Oreochromis niloticus: one gene and its partner. The protein of the gene in region 1 interacts with the protein of each later gene in a pairwise test. Links are inferred from orthologs where the notes say so. Each region holds a gene or a part of one and is shown on either strand. Other genes may lie near its edges. The genes, in order: bcar1 and nphp1.

Region 1 (3,925 bases):
TGCAACCTCGGTTTCTCATTGTTGTGTACAAAGACGAGCTGTTTTCAGCCAACCAGTTATCTGTTATGAATAGTCTGCCAGCTATTTAAAAGTTCCTACCAAGATCATCTGTCATCAGGTTAAGCAATATCTGGCCACACCTGTGTGAGCCTGTCCTGTTCTCCAGGCTACGAAATCACTGCTGTTGTTTCTGTTGTTAGTCATAGCCTGAAGGCAGACATTCTTCACTTGCTAAAGCAGAAGCCTGCACTAGAAAGCAGCCAGGGCTGCTTGGAAATCCACCTTTTGTTGTACTCAGGCTGAATAGATTATTAAATTGGCATATTTAAGGGCACACCCCAGAAATCAAAAGATTTACTGAGGACTTCCCAAAAATATAATTTACACGTCACGGATGATCATCGGGTTTAACAGAGGTCTCCCAGAAACACTAAAACTGGGTTAATTGATCTCAGTGCATAAAATCAGTGGAGAGTTCCTTTTTACGCAGTATCCTTTTTTTTAGCGTCCTGCTTTTCTTTTCTTGAAGGTAATTCTTTAAGCTTTAGTGTTTAGTGATAAGCACAGCTGGTTAATTAAACTTATTCCATGTCAAATATAAGAGAACTCGGCGTTTACTCAGAAATACATATTTGGCGCATCGAACACTACAGCTCCTCACTAAAATGAAATAATATACAGTTTAACACATTACTGCAAGAGGAGTAATTCACATTATTATGGCAGATGACTCAAATATAGAGCCTTTTCCTTTTGTTTTGGGTCTGTGCACACGTTGTAAACATCACTGTCCTGCAACACACACTTTCCAGCTTCATCTAGATGCTCAGCTGGCTGGTGGGGTATTTTTTTCTGCTGGTACAAATCAGCCGTGTACGCACAACTATTTCACCATAATAGTTTGACATGCCAAGACAGGAAAGAAGGAATGGGGGAGGGAAGGCCAGACTGACGGTGGAAGAGAGGAAGGAAAGAAGCAGATGTTTGGAGCGAGAGATAGACAGGCAGAAAGAGAGACAGCAAGAGGAAGCCGTGTGGGAGAAGAGACGGGAAAAACGGTCAAAGAAAGGAAAATAGGACTGCTCTGCTGTTTTTTGTTGCTTTGTCAACTTCAGGATGAAATGCAGTGTGGCTGCTGTGCCGCTGGAATGTGAGGTAACAGAGGAGTTGTGTTTGTATGTGGAGGCTGTGGAATGCTGTCTTAAGTGGGACTCTGTGTGCGTGAGTTTGTGTCGGGGGCGGGGTTGGTTGGGGGGTGTAAGGACAGTTTGTTGGCAGGTTCTTGCTTGCTTCACCGATAACAGGCATATACACAAAAAACAAACAAAGAAACTAAAAAACAAATGTGCTTTGGCTGTAGAACCACACACAAAACTCACCAAAGTCAAAACACAGTTAGTGGAGTTAGCATAGTTAACAGTGGATTGTCCTTCCATGACCCTCATGCATTGCTGTATCATACTGTCATTTCCTTCCCACATACATGCTTGTGTCACTTCTTTGACATTTAAAAAAGTTCTAATATGCTAGTCGTTTGGTCAGGACAGCATGAGGCAGATGCAGCAAAAAGGACTAATTTATAAAGTACATATAAATTAGTGAAAGGACAGTAGTGCACTGTAGTAGTAGCACAAGCAGGGGAGGAGGGGCAGCAACCTGTGAGCACCTGGGCTATGAGGGCAAACAGAAAGATAGAAAACAAGGTATAGTTCAATTCAGTTTCCTTTATATTGTATATTTCTTTATTATTATATCCTCTGGGAACTTATTATTGTGAGGCAAAGACCCTACAATAATACAGAGAAGCACTTTGGCGACAGTGGGAAGGAAAAACTCCCCTTCAACCGGAAGAAACCTCCGGCCGAGTCAGGCTCAGGGAGGCGACGGCCATTTGCCTTGTCAGGTTGGTGGTCAGGGGAGGGAGACAAAATACATGCTGTCGAAGAGAGCCAGTGAATAATAACTAACAATTATATGTATAAACACATGGTGAGTGAAAAGGGGTGAGAAAATGAGAAACACTCGGTGCAACATATGAAGCCCCCAGCAGCCTAAGTCTATTGCAGCTTAACTAAGGGAGGATTCAGGGTCACCTAATCCAGCTCCATTTATATGCTTTATCAAAAAGGAAAGTTTTATCCCTTAACTCTAGAAGTAAGGGAGTCAGTGAAGAGAAGACTATACAGGAGAAATATGCTCTCTCTTTCTAGTCCCTGTCAGTACTCTTACTGCAGCATTTTGGATCAACTAAAGGCTTTTCAGCGAGTTTTTAGGATGATGAATTACAGTAGTCCAGCCTAGAAGTAATAAATGCATGAACTAGTTTTTCAGCGTCACTCTGAGACAGGATAGTTCTAGTTTTAGAGATATTGCACAAATGGAAAAACAGCAGTTCTACATATTTGTTTAATATGCATATTTAAGGACATATCCTTGTCAAGAACGACTCCCAGTTTTCCTCACAGTGTTACTGGAGGCTAAGGTAATGCCGTCCAGAGTAAGAATCTGGTTAGATACCATGTTTCTAAGATTTTCAGGGCCGAGTACAATAACCTCAGTTATACTTGAATTTAGAAGCAGAAAGTTAGCGGTCATCCAGGTCTTTATGTCTTTAAGACATTCCTGCAGTTGAACTAATTGCTGCGTGTTATCTGGCTTGATGGATATATAAAGTTGTGTATCATCTTTATAACATTGAAAATGTATGCTATGCCTAAACAGAACTGGTCCTAGCACTGAACCCTGTAGAACTCCATAATTAAACTTCACGTGTGAAGAGGACTCTCTGTTTGCACAAACAAATTGGAGTCTATTAGATAGATAGGATTCAATCCACTGCAGTGCAGTAGCTTTAATACCTACGGCACACTGTAATAAAATATATGGTCAACAGTATCGAACGCTGCACTGAGGTCTAGCAGGACAAGCACAGAGATGAGTCCACTGTCAGAGGCCATAAGAAGATCATTTGTAACCTTCACTAAAGCTGTTTCTGTGCTGTGATGAGCTCTGAAACCTGACTGAAACTCTTCAAATAAATCATTCCTCTGCAGATGATCTGTTAGCTGTTTTACAACTACTCTTTCAAGGATTTTTGATATGACACAAAGGTTGGAGATTGGCCTATAATTAGCTAAGACAGCTGGGTCAAGAGACGGCTTTTTAAATAACTGTTGAACTACTGCCAGCTTGAAGGCCTGTGGTGTGGAAAAATTGAAGGTATTTGTACATAATGTTATGTCTGTGAGATGGTTATGAGTAATTTTTTTCTCTGATGGTGAAATTTTATTTGGTAATAAACAAATGAAATATTTACTAGTTAAGGTCAAATGGAATGTTTCACTCAACTCAGCTCAGATTTTTTGTCAGCCTGTCTACAATGCTGAAGACAAACCGAGGGTTTGTGGGGAGAAAACAGGCAAGTTAAAGCATACAGCAGTGGCTGAGCCTCAGACAAAACTGAGGGATGGTTCAAGGTCACCTAATGCTAGGTGTCACCAGAACCAATGCTTGTGTTACCTTTCAGTATAGTGGCTAGCACTGTTTGCTCACAGCAAAAAAGTCCAGGGTTTGAATCCACCATCTGCCTGGGCCTTTCTGTGTGGAGTTCGCATGTTCTCCCTGTGTCTGTCTGGGTTCCATGTCCCCACTCTCGCCTTATGGCCGATGGGACTGACTCCAGCCTTCCTGCGACCATGAATAACCATGAATTCGATAAGTGGGTGAAAATGGATGGATGAATAGTACTGTAGGTAATTTATTTACCAACACTGCAGTTCTTCTGGAACAAGGGCCGCATGCCCACAAGTGTTCCAGTTCATCCTTAAGAATAACAAGCACCCAAAAAGCTAATGTAGCTGTCATGGAAGCTCTGCTCTGACCTGTTGATAAGAAAAGAGTAAAAGTAAGAGTCGGCTATAGAAGT
Region 2 (3,925 bases), on another chromosome or scaffold:
TTTAGCGAGGACGCTTGGAGAACGACATCATAATAGAGCTAAGCATAAGCGACGATTAAACTTTTTTATAAAAAATAACGCTGTTACAGTGACGGCATGTTTTGAAATTATACATTTGAAATTTGGGGAAAAGAAAATGACAAGTGGTAGTGAAGGTAACACGCAGGGCAAAGGACGTAACGTACGCCCCCTGTAGGTGTTTTTGAAAGCACTTACACAACTGTGCATCGCAAGTGTCCTTTGAAAGAGTGATATAATTTTATATGGCGGAGCTGTAGATGTGGTGCTGGATGGGTTCGAACAGCCAAAAGCTGAGGATTATTGGGGGGGAAGGGAGGGTCACACTCGAGTTTGGAAGAGAAGTAAAAATATCAGTAATAACTTTTGTTATATTTTTGGGACATAAAACCTGTAAAAGCATCAAACAGCTAGCATTTAAAAACTGGTATTAGAGGAAATGCAAATATATTACATCAGAATTTGGAGAGTACTTGGATTTATATATGATTACAATCAATAATGGTAGTTTTGCCTTTTGATCCCAAATTTGGCCTTAGACCGATCAGTTTTTACCCTTATGGGACTGAATCTGAAACAAATGCGCATTAAACACAAACAACACCAACATTATGAAGTCGCAGTAACATCAGTAATTTTTCGAGGAATAGTGAGAAAATATACGATGATAGTTACCAACCACTTTTTAGGTTTTCCTACAGCTTCATCATCCAGTCCAGTAGGCGGCGGTAGCTTGATGTAAACTGCCAAAAATTGCGGGAAAAAACAGAAAAGCCTTTGTATTAATATCGCGTTAATTCAGTTACGAATATATATATATATTTAAAAAAAATACATAAGCAAAATATGCTGACTAAAATAAACCCACAATGAGCAGGGTTATGGGAAATTACATTGAAAATAAAATAAAAAAAATAATCCGAGGAAGAAGAAGTCAGTTGCCTAGCAACTGTTGGAAGCCTAGCGTCAGTTAGCAAGCTAGGAGATGAGCTAACACACGGATCGTATGACCCTAAAAAGTGTATAAATGCCACTAAAAAGAAGAGGACCTTTGCAGCTAGCTCAGAGAGAAGTGGATGAAATAAAAAAACAGGTCAGTTAAAGAATGACGTCTTTAAACCTAGGTGCGATTGCACCAAACTGCTTAGACTGAACGTTATACAGTTGTTGCACATGTACCCCCAGAGGTTTTTCGAAATGAAGTGATCCCGAGGCTTGAACGTGACTGTTTCTCTAAACACTTTTGTCTTATAAGCCCTTCACCGACGTGGCTTGCGCTAGCATAAATATTGATTAGCATCTGTTCGTAACAATTCATTGTGATGCACTGCTGTGAGTTAGCAATGTAAACATAGATAAAAACCGACATAATCATCAACATAAACGCTTATTGATGACGCCAACTTTTATTTGAACTGATGAAATATGGTTATTTTGCACAAATCATGTGCAATATGTATACCGTCCTGTGCAATTCTTAACCGTACATTGATTTAAACACTTTCACAGGTTGACAGTCTGGAGAAGGATGCCCAGAGTCAGGCTGGATCCACTGAAGAGGCCTTTCGAAGGTAACCAACTGTGGCAGAGCACCAGCAGTGCCCTTCCTTACTCTTAAGACAAGCACCCTCACCTGTTTCAACATTGAAATCCTTGTGTGTACTTATATAGCGCCTTTCTACTCAGTTGAGCACTCACAGTGTTTTCTGCTAAAAGTGTCACTCGCCCAGTCACGCACAAATCCATACAGGATTGTAACTATAACTAAGCATTTTCTAACAATTACACACATACTCACACTGCAATGGGTACATCAGTGAGTTCGCTATCAGTCTGCCCAAGGATATTTCAGCATGATGACCCTCTCTACCACATCCCCCAATCACCTACTTTATGGAATGCTTGAAAATTTGATATCTACTTGCAAACAGATGCCAAAAACTGCAAATGTCAGCAGAGGAGACACTAAGGACACTAAAGAAACTGAGCAAGGTTAGTTTTCTAATCTTTAAGAAACTTTTCAACCTTTTCAAATACTATTATTGTACACAGATTTAATATAATCTCTGGATGCCAACAATTGGAAGCAATCAGTGATATTACTTGACTAATATAAGTTGTTTTTATGAAGGCAATTGTCATTACTTACAGCACCAAATCTATATATTAATTTATCTTTGTGGAAAATGTTGCATGGTTGACAGCAGTGTAGCTAATTAGACATCATAAGCTAGTGCTTGATCTTTCAGGCTGATGAGCTGGCTCCAGTGGGGAATTATGATCAGAGGAAACAGGAAGAGGAGCGACGAGTGCAAAACATCTTGGAGCGTCTAAAAACTCTCTCTCTGGAGCTGTCGCCACCAGGACCTAGCACTGAAGCAGGGTTAGTGAAATGTATGCTAATTGCAAAGAAGGAAAACTGGGATGATAGAGTTTTTTTGTTGATCTGTGTATGTACTTTACAGTCCTTGCTGCAGGGGCTTGACTTCCCCACAATTTAATCTGCATGCTTCATTGCAAAGCATCAGTTTATCTGACAAATTCAATGACAAATGAATGACAAATCTGACCAAAGAATACCTTTTTTCACTTAACTATTCCCTGGTCCACAGTAATGTTTCAAAGGAAGATAGTGAAGATAGTGCTGAAGAAGACGATGACGAAGACAGTAACGATAATGAAGAAGAGCATGTAGAAAATGATAACAACACTGGCAGTGATGAGAGGCGAGATTTGAAACCGCCATCTCAGTCAGATGCTCGCATCTACATGGTCCTCAGTGATTTCAAAGGAGAGCAGGAAGGAGATCTGTCTGTTCGGGTAAAATACAAACAGCCTTGATGTCAGCAATATATTTAGGACTTTTAGAGCTTGGATTCTTTCCCCTTGGATGTTAAAAGCGGTATTGTATAATATTTAGTTTCGACAGAAGAGGGCGCTCTAGCCATCCAAATCCACCATCTGCAGTCTTGCAGGCGTGAATTAAGAAAAAAGTGTAATTTACATATTTCTGAAAACTATATACCTATTTAATTTTAAACATTTCTGTGATGTGTCTGGTGGACATGTGCATACAGTCTAGTGCACTGTAGTGTCATTTATAAGCTTTACTAATCATTATGTCCATCCATCCATTCATCTTTTTCCACTTATCCAATTTGATATTATATAAAGTAATTAATTTTTCAGAATGATGAATGATTTAAGTGTTTGAAATAATGTAAGGTCATGTATTTCTATATAAATATTTCAGAATTGGAAAGGGACAAAATGAATCTTATTCCATTGCCGGTTATTTTTTAATCAAGTACTTAACTGATTAGGAAGATAGGTTTATCCTCAAATCTGATTTCCAGACCTGCCTGTGATGAACTGTGTTTGATCTCATCTGTTTGTTACAAATGTGTGAGTTATGTGAACTACATGGTGTTCCGTGGCCTGTTGTTTCAGAAGGGGGAGGTGTTGAGGATTATCAGGAAGACAGCAGATGGATGGTGGCTGGCTCAGAACACTAAAGGCAGCAGAGGAGTGGTTCCAAAAACCTTCCTGAAGGTACAAAAACTGCAACGATAGCAAGTCCAACATTATGAATTTTCATTTAGACAAGTGTTTAGCTGAAGGAATTATAAAACATTACTGAGAACATTAAAATGCAGCCTGCAGCAGTTTTCTTTATTTATCGTGTTTTTAATATTAGTATAGACTGACAAAAAATGGAGATCATAACAGGATATGATTTCTGATTATATTTTAAATGTAACCATAATGTGTTAGATTGGCTCTAGTGTTGATGATGACGATGATGATGACGATGATTCAAAAGAAGATGATGATGAAAAGGAGGAGTCGGAAGAGGAGGAAGATCAAGATAGTGAAGAATTAACTGATGATCCAGACAAACGGAGGT

What was found.
Region 2: the proteins of bcar1 (region 1) and nphp1 interact in a two-hybrid assay, tested with the Homo sapiens proteins (2 studies listed by BioGRID). The link is inferred for Oreochromis niloticus from reciprocal best matches to the Homo sapiens genes BCAR1 and NPHP1.

What each region holds. Positions count from the first base shown.
Region 1 is NC_031972.2:39,743,700-39,747,624, forward strand, and holds the start of bcar1 (breast cancer anti-estrogen resistance protein 1), read left to right. Parts: upstream 1-959; 5' UTR 960-1,116; coding exon 1,117-1,155; intron 1,156-3,925. UniProt on the Homo sapiens protein: Docking protein which plays a central coordinating role for tyrosine kinase-based signaling related to cell adhesion. Implicated in induction of cell migration and cell branching. Involved in the BCAR3-mediated inhibition of TGFB signaling.
Region 2 is NC_031978.2:9,814,667-9,818,591, reverse strand, and holds the start of nphp1 (nephrocystin-1), read left to right. Parts: upstream 1-844; 5' UTR 845-1,045; coding exon 1,046-1,111; intron 1,112-1,527; coding exon 1,528-1,589; intron 1,590-1,949; coding exon 1,950-2,010; intron 2,011-2,267; coding exon 2,268-2,401; intron 2,402-2,630; coding exon 2,631-2,838; intron 2,839-3,468; coding exon 3,469-3,570; intron 3,571-3,792; coding exon 3,793-3,923; intron 3,924-3,925. UniProt on the Homo sapiens protein: Together with BCAR1 it may play a role in the control of epithelial cell polarity. Involved in the organization of apical junctions in kidney cells together with NPHP4 and RPGRIP1L/NPHP8. Does not seem to be strictly required for ciliogenesis.